Linked DNA regions of Stegostoma tigrinum. The protein of the gene in region 2 interacts with the protein of the main gene of each other region in a biochemical or structural test. Links are inferred from orthologs where the notes say so. Each region holds a gene or a part of one and is shown on either strand. Other genes may lie near its edges.

Region 1 (7,006 bases), on a different chromosome or scaffold from region 2:
TACAACTGTACAGAGTACTGCTGAAACTACTCTCTCCAATATTGTGTACAGTTCTGCACCTTACTCAAGGAGAAGCATATTTGCAGTGGAAGTAGTTCAGGGGAGGCTTACACGGCTGATTCTTGGATAAAGGGTTTAACTTATGGAAGACAAGATAAGCACATTGGCCCCTTGCTCATTGAATTTAGAAGAATGAGAGGTAATCTAATTGAACCTTGTTAAATTCTGACAGGGTTTGACATGGCAGTGGCAGGACTCCCTTGTGGGAATCTAGAACTAAGGGGCAAAATTTAAAAATAAGAAATCTCCTATCTGAAATGAAGGTAAGGAAGAATTTCTCCTCTCAGAAGGTTGCTGGTATTTGGAGCTTTCCACCTCAGCAAATAATGGAGGTTGGGTCAATAAAAAGATTTGAAACTGAACTAAAGATTTTTGATTCACAGAAGGACCATGGGGGCTCGGAGAAAAGAGTTAAAATTATGTCAAATCAGCCCCAATCTTACTGAATATTAAAGCAGGTTTGAGGGGTCAAATGGCATATTTCTACTTCAATTTCTTATATCCTGTTTTACGTACATCATCTAAGCTGACACTTCAATGTGGTGCAGAGGGTATACTACTCTGCTGGAGGTTACACTGTTAAACCGAGTCTTATCTGCCCTGTCAAGCAGATGGAAAAATCCCATGCTACTTTTATGCACAAATTGCAACAGGTTATACAATATTATTGATATGGGCTTCAGGACAAGTCATCTGCCTGAATGCCTGGTTGGCATGCGGTAGAAAGAAAACACATCAAACCAGAAAATGCAAAAGTAAAAAAGTACTGTGCTTAGAAAACAGGCTGAGTTTCATGTGCGGAGATAGCAAGAACTGCAGATGCTGGAAGAACACAGCAGGCCAGGCAGCAGAGGAGCAGGGAACTTGACATTTCTGAAGAAGGGACCTGACTCGAAATGAGTTTGTGTGAAGAGTGTTCAGTGCAGTTAACTTTTTTTCAATAATTGTGGTGCATTTGTAGTGCAATAACATATCTGCATAGGTATATATACTAGAATGGTAGACACTAATAGTCTGTGGTTCTAGGCTAATAATCCAGAGATCATTTGTTTAAATACCATGCCAGCATGAAGAACATATATTCAGCTTATACAAAAGCATGGAACTAAAAAGCTGGTATCAGTAACTGTACCACTGCCATTTTTAAAGAAAAAAACAAATGCTTCAGTAACATCTTTAAGAAATGTTTTCTGTTCTTACCTCTCCTGACTTGCGTAGGTAGATTCATTTCCATACCAACTTGAGTCACTGTGAACTTCCAACAAGTGGCATCACAACTCAATCAGTTGACTCAAACACCATGCAGTATTACAAAATGAAAGCCTTTTATCACATTTCCCAACAAGTTGAAAAGGGAAATATTTCTAACCTACTTAGTAACACCCAGATCAAAAAATGAAAAATAAACTGGATGTAGCAACTTGGTTAGTTGCAACATGATATCCACACAATCCTTACAAATTATCATTTGACAATTTAATTCTGGCTTACAAAATAATCGCTCTGTGATAGTTAACATCCCATTTTGCATGAAAATTAAATTCATTGGGAAGTTGAAGGAGTACCTACCACAACGTTCTGAAAATTTGAAGTAGCTCTTCAATGTCCTCATGCAGTTTTATTTCAGGAAACTGACACAAGGGAGGACAAGTACAGAAAACTCTCAAACATATGAACAGATGGATAAAGATTGTATAATATTTTATTGATTTAAGACCAAGCATCACTTCCCAGCTAAGCAATGCCTCAACTTTTAGGGTAAAGAATCCCAACAGCACATGTAACCAAAACAGACTCACTTTTCAACATTTAAAAACATAATATTGGAAACAAGCTTGAAAGGCAATGCATATTTATTTTGATGCTTGATATTTGTTTCCTTATCATTGTGTTTTTCAAATTACAAAGCAAAGGCCAACATTTGAGGAGCAGCCTTCTCCCCATTACACAGGCATGAAAGTCATGTTCAATGATACTGAATACATGTAGTGCCATTTTTACATGAATATCAAGAATAAATTAATGCCCTAAACATATCAAATAAAAGTTTACTATCTATACTCATCAGTCTGAGGGTTCATTACTGACACTAGAGTTAATGAAGTTGTGAAAATGTTTAGCATCTAAGGCAAGTGCTCTCTATGAAGAGAATTTTGAGACTGTTTGCATAATATCTTCGCCTCAAAGTTTCAACCTAAGATTGTGACATGAACATTTTGAAATGTCATTCTAGCCCTAGGACATGTGGGGAACTACTGCCCTTTCCAAATTGGCATGGCTTTCACATGTTGCTAAAATATATTCAGCACATTGGGTACAAACGGCCAGGCTCGAGTATAGTTATGACTAGAGTTCCTAATTAAAGTAAAATACATGTTAAATCGGACATGGAAGACTTTTTTATTACAAAGCAGAAAGAAGATCGCTTGCAAATGCGGCGTTACCTACAAACAGCGTTACAAAGCCTTTGCCCAAAGGACATGCAAGAGCTGTCAGTGCCCCAACCTTGCATGCTGGTAAAGGTCACTCTCCACCCGCCATTCAACAGACTCCAGCGAGACAAACGCATGGATTCTACTCAAGAAATATAAGTTAACGCCTTCAACGAGCTTTGCTATTCCATGGACTCAACCTCGTGGCAGAGAGGTAGATTACGGACCGTAACCCTGGAGAAGAACAGGCAAACATGATGCCATCCACCTACTCCCAGCCCCGGCCTTTAAACTCAAATCCCTTTCCAGCAACGTCCAGAATTTTCACTCCCGCCTCTCTCCTTGTGAACATAGACTACCTGACATGTCCTCTTCTCGCCGGTGTTACACAAACATACCTCTGAAGAGCTGGGAGGGAAAGCTTCCAGCCGACAATTTCCAAACGAACAACTCAGCAGCACACACTGACCGAAAGGGAACGACTGCACATGCGCTGATGCCCCGGGACGTGGAGTCAACGGCGCGTGCGCAGTCAAGGGGAGGGGGCGGGCGAACGGCGGCGCGTGCGCAGTGAGGGGCGGCGACGGAGGGGAGCGGCTCCAGGGAATGACTGTTGTGCTGATAACAAAGTGTGGAGCTGAATGAACACAGTAGGCCAAGCAGCATCTCAGGAGCTTCAAAATCTCCCCTTCCTCTACTGAGGGCTGGTTTTGGGATGCAGTAGGGGAAGGGGAGATTTTGAATCTCCTGAGATGCTGCTTGGCCTGCTGTGTTCATCCAGCTCCACACTTTGTTACCTTGGATTCCCCAGCATCTGCAGTTCCCATTATCAATGACTGAGCGCTGCTGCGGCACATTTTCAACTGGTCAGTGACAACGTTTGCACCCTGCTGGAGACACATGTGCTTATGAATAAACCGACTGTTGGCTTCGCAATGGCATAGTGAGAAGGGGCGTGTTCCTGCTTTCGATGAAGTATTTCGTAAATGGGTTGAGATGATTCCTAGGTGGAGTTTCAGCAGAGAAGTCGGACAGGGCTGAAGCATTGCGGTATGAGCAAATGAGAAATTACTATTTTAGAATTTATTTTGGCTCAAGTGGGATATGTCTAATGTTACTCACGGACTCCTCACATAGGCAGAATGGGTAGACGTTACCTGACTGTGGCAAGCCAGCTGATAGAGTGAGGGCACAATTACATTTCTTCGAAATAACCAGGTGTAGAGCTGGATGAACACAACAGGCCCAGCAGCATCAGAGGAGCAGGAAAGCTGATGTTTCGGGCCTAGTCCCTTCATCAGAAAAGAGGGAGGGGGAGAGGGGTAGACGGATCGAAGATGGATAGAGAAGATAGGTGGAGGGGAGACAGACAAGCTAAAGAGGCGAGGATGGAGCCAGTAAAGGTGAGTGTAGTTGGGGAGGTAGGGGGGAGATATGTCAGTCCAGGGAGGACGGTCTGATGCCATTTTTTCGAACGTTCCTTTTTCGCACAGTCATTGCAATTGAAAGTTCCGCGATAGACGTGGTGAGCAATAAACCTATCATTCATTAACAATAATGTGTGCTGACTCTAGTCACTTCATTCGGTCTCTACGTACGCATTGCAATAGCAGTCTTTACGTTTTGCAAGTCCCATTATTCTCTGTGTGCTTTGTCGTTGGCTGATCCTGTGATATGTGCTCGTTCGAATGTTGATACTGCTTGTCCAGGGAGTTCCATTCCTGTGGTGATGCTGTTGCCCTGATATCTCTTGTTGTGAATCCGTTTCTGTTGCTGGGTAACAGTGGCTCTCAAGGAGTGATGCCCATTCTGTAGATAATGAAATCGATTCTTCCTGATCCATTGCCTCCTGTGAATGCACAACTTCTCTAGTTGTACATGCATGTTGCATGTTCCCTTGAACAAATTGAGATGACAACTGCTCGTCACAGGTCCCAACTTAGTAATTAGGCTGACTTTTATTGAAAGCGCCGAAGATTTACACACTGACTTGTTCTCTAATACTCAGCTCTGGTCATGCCTTGGCAGTTTTAACTGGTTTGGTCAAATTTGGTTTTCCGCCATTTCACCTTGAATTTTTGTGCATAATAATAATCTTTGGACTGGGTGACTTTCTGTGCCTTCAGTTGATGTATTTTTTTGCTGAAGGATTGCCTTATACAACTCTGCTGAATTTTCTCAATTTCTTTGTGATCCCTTTGATACATTGAACTGCAGCTTCAACCTTTCCATTTTACTCAGGATGGCATGAAATTGTATACTTTTGAATTTTCTAATTCTTTATGAAACAACTGAACACTGAGTAACATTGTTACTCATGACAATATCTGGAATACTGTAATGACTGAAGTGCTTTCAGGCATTCTACAATCTCACTGATTATCATGAACACCAGCTGGTCAAACTTCCAGTGGTCAGAATAGTAATCGATGATAACAAAGTAATCAGTCACTGCAACAGTGAAGACATCTACTTCAGGCTTCACCCATAGTCTGCCTCGGATGTCATGTGTCCTCAGTGTCTCCCTGACTTGCTGACCTTGGTATTTGTTACAAACGTTGTGTTGGTTTTAGTTCGTAATCATTGTTCATGTTTGGCCAGTAGAGCGCTTTTCTTGCCTTCCTCAGACCAGACTCAATCCCTTGATGGCTAGCATGGATGCGGTTCAGTATACTTCTCACTTCCTTAAGGATAATGACTACTTGGTTTGTACCAGATGCCGTACTGGGCTCTTTCTTTGTCTCTCTATGCCAAATAGTCTTACAGCTACATCTGTGTCCTTCATGGTTTCAGGCCATCTTTTCATCATTGCTTCCTGCAGGATTTGGAGAGTTACATCTTGTGTATAATTCACCTTATTTGAGTAAGACCCTTGTAGTTCAGATTCATTGCCTCTGCTGGGTTGCTGATTTCTAGAACAGTTGCTCCATATTGAAGCTGGAAGATTTCACCCTCTGCATTAGCATTCTCAACTTTCTTAATTAAGAATGCAGCTCTCAACAGAAGAGTGTATATCCATTTCCCTTGCTTATATTTTCATGCCCAACTTGTATCTTCGCAAAGTTAGTCGCATTCTTTGTTGCGAATAGAAGCAGTTTGAGGAAGAGCAGTTGTGGCCAGAGTGCACTCTCAGCTTGCCTCTCCCAAATAGTTCTCACTTTGTCAGGTTCCAGGCAAAGTGCATTTACTGTCAGTACAGTACTTGAATTCAGGCATCTTCAATTGCATCTTCTTGTTCAGATTCAGGCACCTGGCGAGCACACTAGCAATTACACCAGATTTTGATCGTAATCTGTGATGGGTTCTTTCGTTCTGTCTCCACAATATGATCAAAAATTGCTTGCACTTCATTAAGGTCACTGATAATCTCACGTTGTCAGCATTGACACTCTTTTGGGACAATGCAAGTGCCTAACAGCATATGCATGTAAATATCTCTCCCAGATGGCATCCAGAGTTTTAAAAGTTTTTAAAAAAAACTTGTTTTCATCCAGCTTCACTTCTTAGTAACCAACCATAGAATCAAAGGTAGTGAATACCTTCGTCTTGATAAGTTGTAGCAATGTTCCTTTGGCTGGCACCATGAAATGATATCACTTCAAGGCTTTGTTGAGATCCTTTGGATCCATATATGCTATCTTCTTTCTAGGTTTGTTTCCAATGTTCTTCTAAAGCAGTTCTATGTTGTCTTTCAGAATGGAACTTTTCTTGACAGGTGCTGGGTTGGTCACCGCCCTCATTTACTTTGGGATAATATTCATTGGGAAGATATCCAACATCTGTAAAAAGACACCTTTGTAATTTTTCAGGATCTGTTCAGAGTTAATGGCTTACTGGCCTGCAAAACCCAGTAAATCTCTTCTGTAATGTTTAAGCTTAGAGTTTAGAACATAGAAGAGTACAATACAGGAACAGGCACTTTGGTCCACCATATGTCAACCATAATGACATTCTGAACTAATCCCATCTGCCTGCATATGATCTGTATCTGTCTATACCCTGTGTGTTCATGTGTCCGTTCAAATGCCTCCTAAATGTTGCTATCATATCTGCTTCTATCACCGCTCCAGGCAGCTCATTCCAGGCGCCTACCTCTGCACAAAAAAACGTATCCCGCATATCTCCTTTAAACTTTTCCCCCTCACCTGAAACCTATTTCACCTTATCCATAATTTTATATACTTTTATCAGGTCATACCTCAGCCTCAAATGCTGTAGCAAAAACAATGCAAGTTTGTCCAACCTCTCCTTATAGTTAATCTGTTCCAATTCAGACAACATCCAGACAAACCTCTTTTGAACTCTCTCCAAAGCCTTCTCTTCCTTTCTAGGATGTGGCAAAAATTAATGCACACAACACTCTAAATGGGGCCTAACTAAAGTTTTACGCAGCTGCCACATGACTTGTCAACTTCTCAGTTTCCAGTAGACAACCTTTCTCGCTATCCAAAACTCCACCAATTTTCACATTATCTGCCAACCTACTAATCAGACCACCTATATTTTCATTCAAC
Region 2 (7,372 bases):
ATGTTCAAAACTACGCAACAATCACACAGTCTTACAAACGTTTATACGGTTCATTCTTCACACCGGTCAGCTCTGAGTACAATGGATCAATATTCAAAAAGATGCGGACCAGAATTGTACACACATTTCAAATTATACCAATTACTTCCATCTTTACACACTACAGCCCAACTTCTCCTCCAGACTTTGGGCCAAACGACATCACAGATGCTGAGTCAATCAGTGAGGTTCCTCTCTTCACATCTGCAGAGATGTGTTACATTCTTGTCTCAAGGGCTACATTAAAAATTAACTTTTCTCTCCTTTAATTCACTTATATCTCAAACTGACTGATACATGACCAAGTGTTTCATTGGAGGTAAAGTAGCTTGGGACACCCTGAGGTTGTGGCAGGCTTTAACGAAATGCAAATCTGTCTTTCTGATCAAAAGATAGAATTACTGTAATTTAGGACTGTAATTCACAGCACAAAAGGCCATTTGACTTATCGTTTCTGTCCTGTTAAAAAAAAAGCTCACCACCCTGATTCCACATTCCAGCTCTTGATCAGTTTAATAGGTTATGGCATTTCAAGTGCAAACCAAACGCCTAAGCGGGATAAAGGCTTATCCCTCTTTGCCTTCCAGGCAGTGAATACCAAATCCCCAGCATCTTCTGGCCAACATAATTATTCCTCATTTCCTTTCTAATCCTTTTACCAACAAAATTACATCATTGAGAGAAACAGCAAGAACTGCAGATGCTGGCATCAGAGTTAACACAGTGTGGAGGTGGAGGAACACAGCAGGTCAGGCAGCATCAGAGGAGCATGAAAGCCGATGTTTCAGGTCGGGTCCTTCATCGGGACTGGCAAAGGGTCCCAACCCAAAACATCAACTTTCCTGCTCCTCTAATGCTGCCTGGCCTGCTGTGTTCCTCCAACTCCACACTGTATTGACTAAATTACATCAATGATCTCAAGTTGCTGTTGAGGGAAATAGTACCTTCCCATCCACGCAATCTAGACCCCTCAAGTCTATCTTTTCATCACAATTAAATCTTCCCATGGTTGCCTCTATTCAATGGAAACATTTCCTCATAGCTGAAATTCTCCACTCCTTGTCACACCCTTGTAATTCTTCTCTGTAACCCTCCAATGTGATCACAGAACTGTACACAGTGCACTAACCACAGCTATATACAATTTAAGCAAACACCCTCCCTCAAATATTCTAGGCTTTGGCTAATAAGGAAGTTATTCCATACACATTCTTTGCTAATTTATTGACTACTCATGTTTTTTTTAAATCAGAATTATGTGGAACGTACTCAAAAGTCTCTCTTTTTCCACAAACTTCACAATGTCCCATCAGCTGTTGTTATTTCTTTGCCCTCCCAAAATCTAATAACTCTCATTTCTGTAGATGGAATTCTGTTTGACTACCTGACCAGCACATTGCCGTCTTGATGCATTTTGCAAGTTTCTCACTCATGGCCCAATTTAAAGTCCAAGTGATCATGGATTGAAAATTTCTCCATCAATTAAGGGTATGCTGCTCAGAAGACCCAATTTCAAAACAGCCCACAAAACCAAAACAAAGTTGGAGATCACAAGCCCTAAAGAATTAAACACATCTATCTATTCAATACCAAACTTCACTGGGATGCTAGAGTTTAGGTTTAGCTCTCATATTCTTTCAAAGAAATGCTAACTACCCAAATAAATTGTGGAAATCCTTCTCAATACAGTGCGCAAAGTCAAATGTGCTGCATCAAGAAATAACAGTGTGATGGAGTATCACAGCAAGCTAGGATTATGGGGTCTCTCCATTTTATCGGTTAAATTCAGTGATTTTAAACATTTTCCAGAAATTAGCAAACTCGGACCAACGCTGCCATGGAGGTAGAATCTCTGAATCACACAGAAAGTAGGATGATCATTCAGCCCAGTGTCTGCCAGCTCTCTACAGAAGTCAGGGCCAAAAGCTCTTTAGTGTTAAGCCAGGGTTGGCGTATCTAAGGGGAAAGGGGTATAGGGTTAGGGATAAGTGGTCAGACTTCCTGTGTAGAGGATGAAGGGTTATAGATTTAGGGATTAACAGTCAGGATTCTATGTGGAGGATGAGGGTTTATAGGGTTCAGGATCAGAGGGTGAGGGGTTATTGTGGTTAGGGAATAAGGAGTCAGATACCATGTGTGGATAGAAAGAGACTCTTGGACTACAGGACAACGACCTAGTGTGAAAGGTGAGCGACGTGGGGCTAGAGTTAGGAATCAGGTACACTGTATAGATTCCCAGGCTTTGCAATGTAGAGACCTGGTGGATGAAGCTGGCTAGAGCTCTTACCCAGCCACCGTGCTGCCGGATCCAAGGGTCCAGGTTGTTCTCCAGGTAGGTACTCATCCAGTCGGCGATGCGGGGCACCAGTGCGCCCATCTCCTTCTCGGCGCTTTCCACACTCAGGGCCGCCCCGAAACAGAAGAAAGCCACCAGCCGGCCCCAGTTAACGCCGTCGCGGAACAGCTCACCCACCACCTGCTCGAAGCGCCGGTATGCCGTGTCCGGCGTAACGCGGAGCTGCGCCGACAGATCGCTGAAAGCCCGGCGGTAGCGCAGCTCGAACTCCTCAGCGGCATCCAACAGGGCCTGGCGGGCCCGCTCAGCCTCGGGCCTGCCATTGCACACAGCCGCTCCGGGCTCGGGCTGTGTCCCCAGGCCCGCCGCTCCATTCTGCTCACAAAGCCATCTCCAGTTGTGGCCCCTCTGGGACAGTTTATAACGAAGGAAATCAGCGACCAGCTCCCCACTACTGTACATCCTGCAGCGTCGGCACCTCACCCAGTAGCCGGCATGACGGACACGAGAGATTCTCTGTTCGAGGCCTGCCCCTTCCCCCCGCACCCACTGGGACCGGGCCTGAGACCCCGCCCACTGACCACGGGGCCGCGCCCACCGCGGGGGTCACCGCCCTGCTAAGGCCCCGCCCTCTACCGGTACCCTGCCCAACTATAGGCCCCGCCCATTCCCCATGGGACCACCGCCTTCTGCCGGGACACCGACCCGCTATAGGCCCCGCCTAATACACATGAGGCACCGCCTCCTGGGCCCGCCCTGCTCACGGAGACTGCGCCCCACATTTACCCGCCTATCCGGGCTCCAGTCACTATCGCAGCGCCGTACCCTACGACCCCCCGCTAACACGACCTTAGTTAGGGTGGAAGGGAAGTTGCAGCAGGCCGTGTTCCTATCCATCTTCTACCCTTGTCTGTCTTCATGTGGATTTGGAAGGTGCTGTTGAAGGATATTTTGGCGCATTTCTGTATAACATCATGTAGAAGGCACAATGCCGCTACTTAGCACTGATGGTGGAGGGAATGGATGTCTGTGGGTGTGGTGCCCATCAAGTGAGTTGCTTTGTCCTGGATGGTGTCAAGCTTCATGAGTGTCATTGGAGCTGCGTTCATCCACAAGTGGGGAGTATTCCATCACACTCCTGACTTGTACCTTGTAGGTGCTGGACAGACTTTGGGGAGCCAGGAGGTGAATTAATCGCTGCAGAATCCTTAGCTTTTGGCCTACCCTTGTAGCTACAGGGTTTACTCCAGTTGAAATTTTTTGAGACGATTTGTAGCTCAGATGAGCTTCACCAGAGGTGCACTGACAATGTTAGCTAGCAGAGTGACAAAACGTCTGAAATCAAACACACCAGCTCGGTGAGCAAACCTACAACCTTACTCCAATTGAGTTTCTGGCCAGTGGTGACCCAGGAGATGTTGGTAGAGATTGCAGTGATGGTAATGCCATTGAGTGTTAAGAGACAATGTTTAGTTTATCTTGTGCCTTGTAGATGGTGGTCAGGGTTTGGGGATTTAACTGTAGCTGCAAACATCTTCTGATCATGAGGACATTGACTTTTATCTGTTGTTCCAGGAAGGTCTGCATTATCCTTGCTATCCAGTCATCTTGTTTAGCTGCAGTTTCTATTCTAACATTGGGATCTCTCTGCACTATACTCCTATGAGGATGTCTGCCAGAAATCCTCATTATTGCATCTGGCTTTATCCTCCTAAATGTATTTTCTGAATCAGTATTCAAACTGGAACTGGGTTTCTCCATTCTCATTCTCATACTGCCTGTTACCAATCCACAGCCTCATGTCATAGAATGTAGAACATTAAAGCACAGTACAGGCCCTTTGGCCCTCGATGTTGTGCCGACCCGTCATACCGATCATATCGATCATGTCGCTCGTCTTGGCCATTTAGCCAATATTTATATTTTCCCACAGATTTGCCTTCACGTCCCACTATTGTGGCACCCTACTTCAGCTGAATCAGTGGCAAGTTAACCACTTGTGAACTTATTTTGGGAAAATGATCCCCACATGAGATAACTTCTTCATGTTCATCATGATTGGTGCTTTTATCAGTGTGTATTTCCTGAGCCCTTAGGTCCTGCCCCTCAGCACCAATTTGTAGAACTCACGGGTACATAAAGTACCTGGTTCTTTGCCGGCAACGCCTTTGCCCATGTTCTTAGAGTCCGAAAATTCATCTTCCTGTGAGTTTTGAAGAGAACATGATAGCTGTTTTTAATGGGAGACTAGATAACTGTATGAGTACTGAAGTTGAGAGGGTCTCAAGTAGAGAATAAATGTTTGTATGGACCTGTTGGGTTAAATGCCCTACCTCACTGTCATATATCAAGAATAATTCTAACTGATTTTGAGTGCTTTTGAGGCATTACTTTTGATCTTCTCAGATCCTGACATTGTTACCTGGTGCCTGTTATGCCCAGATCCTGGGCAAGTTCCCACATTGGATAATCTCAAACTCTTAATGTCTTGGCTTCACTTTGTCCAGCCACTCCTTCTGGGTTTTGGATCCATAGGATCCCTTTATCTTTCAGATGGACTTGACTCCTTTTTTAACGTGCATATAACCAGGTTTTTTTGAATTAAGAGTGAATATATGCAAGAAGAAATACTAATTTTGCATATGTAAAATTTATATAAAATACGAAGTTTGAATAAATGAAATACTTTAAATAAGTTTATGGATGAAACCAAGATTGGTGGTAAAGTGGACAGTGAAGAAGGTTATCTAAGATTACAAGAGATCATTGGGTACTAAAGAGTAGCAAATGGAGTTTAATTTGAAAAAATGTGAGACATTGCATTTTGGAAAACAAATAAAGACACGGCTTTCACAATTAAAAGTAGGGTCTTGGGCAGTGTTGTAGAACAGAGAGACCAGGGGTTTCAGGTAAATAATTGTCTGAAGTTCGTGTCACATATAGAAAGCAGACATTAGTATGCTTGCTTTCATTGCTCAGACCTTTATGTATAGAAGTTGGGACGTTATATTGTGGTTGGACAGGACGTTGGTGAAGCCTCTTCTGGAGTACTATGTCCAGTTCTGTTCTCCCTGTTTTAGGAAGGATATTATTAAGCTGGAGAGGGTTCAGAAGAGATTTACCAGGACAATGCCGGGAATGGATGGGTTGGGTTATAAAGAGAGGCTGGAAAGGGTGGGACTTTTTCCACTGGAGCGTAGGAGGTTGAGAAGTGACCTGCTAGAAGTTTATAAAATAATAAGCAGTATGAATGGCAGTTATCTTTTCTGTAGAGTCGGGGATTTCAAGTCTGGGGGTCATATTTTTAAGCTGAGAGGAAAAATATTTTAAAAAAAGACGAGGGCAATATTGTTACACAGAGACTGGTTCATGTATGGAATGAGCAGTTTTTAATTCATTAACATGATGAGAGCATCACTAGCTAGACAGCATTTATTGTCCGTCACTAATCAACCAAAGGGCAGTTCTGAGTCAACCACATTGCTGTGGGTCTGGAGTCACTTGTAGGCCAGACCAGGTAAGGATGGCATCAGAGATAATGGGAACTGCAGATGCTGGAGAATTCCAAGATAATAAAATGTGAGGCTGGATGAACACAGCAGGCCAAGCAGCATCTCAGGAGCACATGGCAGGATTCTAACTTGGGCCCCCAGAATGCTATCTGGGCCACTGGAATTAACAGTCCAGCAATGAAAGTATGAGGCCATTGCCTCCCCCTTTCAGAGGAATTGGTGGATGCAGGTACAGTTACAATGTTTAAAATGTTTGGAGGGATATGGGCCGAGCACAGGCAGATGGGACTAGTTTAGTTCGGGATTATGGTCAGCATAGACTGTTGTACTGAAGGGTCTGCTTCCATACTGTATGACTTTTTGAACTTATCACCACTAGCCATGGGTAATGTACTCCTATAGTTTGATTCCTGTGAAAGTTCTCCTGTCACATCCAATAACATTTGCTGGATCTTTGCATTTGCTGTGTCCTTCTGGCTTATCATAAACCATGCCACTGGATTTGAAATCTCTCCCAAAGCATCTGATGCAGTATGTCAATGCTCTCCAACCTTTTCAGCTTTAATGAGTGCTTTCACACTGGTGCTGATTGCCAGATATTCTAGGATCATCATGCAGTATTGAAGGCAACATTCTGAGCATGTACTAAGTGGTTTGAGCTAAAACTGCCAACTATTTATAAAGAACATTTTGCATTTACTGCTGATTGCCAGTGCTTTTTGTAACTTTCTGATTGACTGATTTGTCAATATTTTGTGTAGAGCCTCATTACTATCAGATGGTTTCTTTCATGCAAGCCGTTGCTGAATGGACTTTCTGCAACAATATGCATTACTACAATATTTGTATTCACACACATGTCCCCAAATTTGTCATCTGCAAATTCACCTTCATTATCCATTGTGACCCAAGGACTGTACTGGCCCACTTTTCCATGTCTTTTTACGCTATCGTCCACCTACCCTTATTGTTTATCACTGTGTGTATGGTAAACCTGGTCACCATATCTACAAAATCTAATAGACGTTCTGATCTTTGACCCATATCTTCAGATCCATAACTTTTACTTCATTGAATTTCAGACTGTAGGAGCTTACAACCAGGCATGGTGGTGTCTTACAATATTCAATACTAATATCACAATGCAATGTGATTTTTTTGACAAGGGTTTCCTGTTCTTTGCCTACAATTCCGACATCCTTTAGCAGTAGCTGTAATTTTTGTGAAGAGTGGTGAGCAAATTGTATATTTGATTTCCATATAATCATCTTATCTGCCAAACTCATATCTACAAATATTAATAACACTTCTGTCATCCCTTGATGAGAAAATCCTGAATTGTCTCAATGGAATACAGTAATGCCTGGATCCCGTAAATTGCGAATTTACAGCTTTACTGAATACAAATGTTTAGTCATGTTTGGACATGGAGAATGATAATGCTTTTTCATCGAACACTTATTCTACAACATGGTATGTCATTCTGAATGACATCAGTGCTTATGAGATGACAGTGTCCTGCAAA

Evidence for each region.
Region 1: the proteins of bcl2l1 (region 2) and voltage-dependent anion-selective channel protein 1 form a complex in vitro, tested with the Homo sapiens proteins (4 studies listed by BioGRID). The link is inferred for Stegostoma tigrinum from reciprocal best matches to the Homo sapiens genes BCL2L1 and VDAC1.

Annotation. Positions count from the first base shown.
Region 1 is NC_081366.1:29,524,496-29,531,501, forward strand, and holds the start of voltage-dependent anion-selective channel protein 1, read right to left. Parts: upstream 3,002-7,006; 5' UTR 2,891-3,001; intron 1-2,890. UniProt on the Homo sapiens protein: Non-selective voltage-gated ion channel that mediates the transport of anions and cations through the mitochondrion outer membrane and plasma membrane.
Region 2 is NC_081372.1:57,848,564-57,855,935, forward strand, and holds the start of bcl2l1 (bcl-2-like protein 1), read right to left. Parts: upstream 3,020-7,372; 5' UTR 2,798-3,019; coding exon 2,327-2,797; intron 1-2,326. UniProt on the Homo sapiens protein: Potent inhibitor of cell death. Inhibits activation of caspases. Appears to regulate cell death by blocking the voltage-dependent anion channel (VDAC) by binding to it and preventing the release of the caspase activator, CYC1, from the mitochondrial membrane.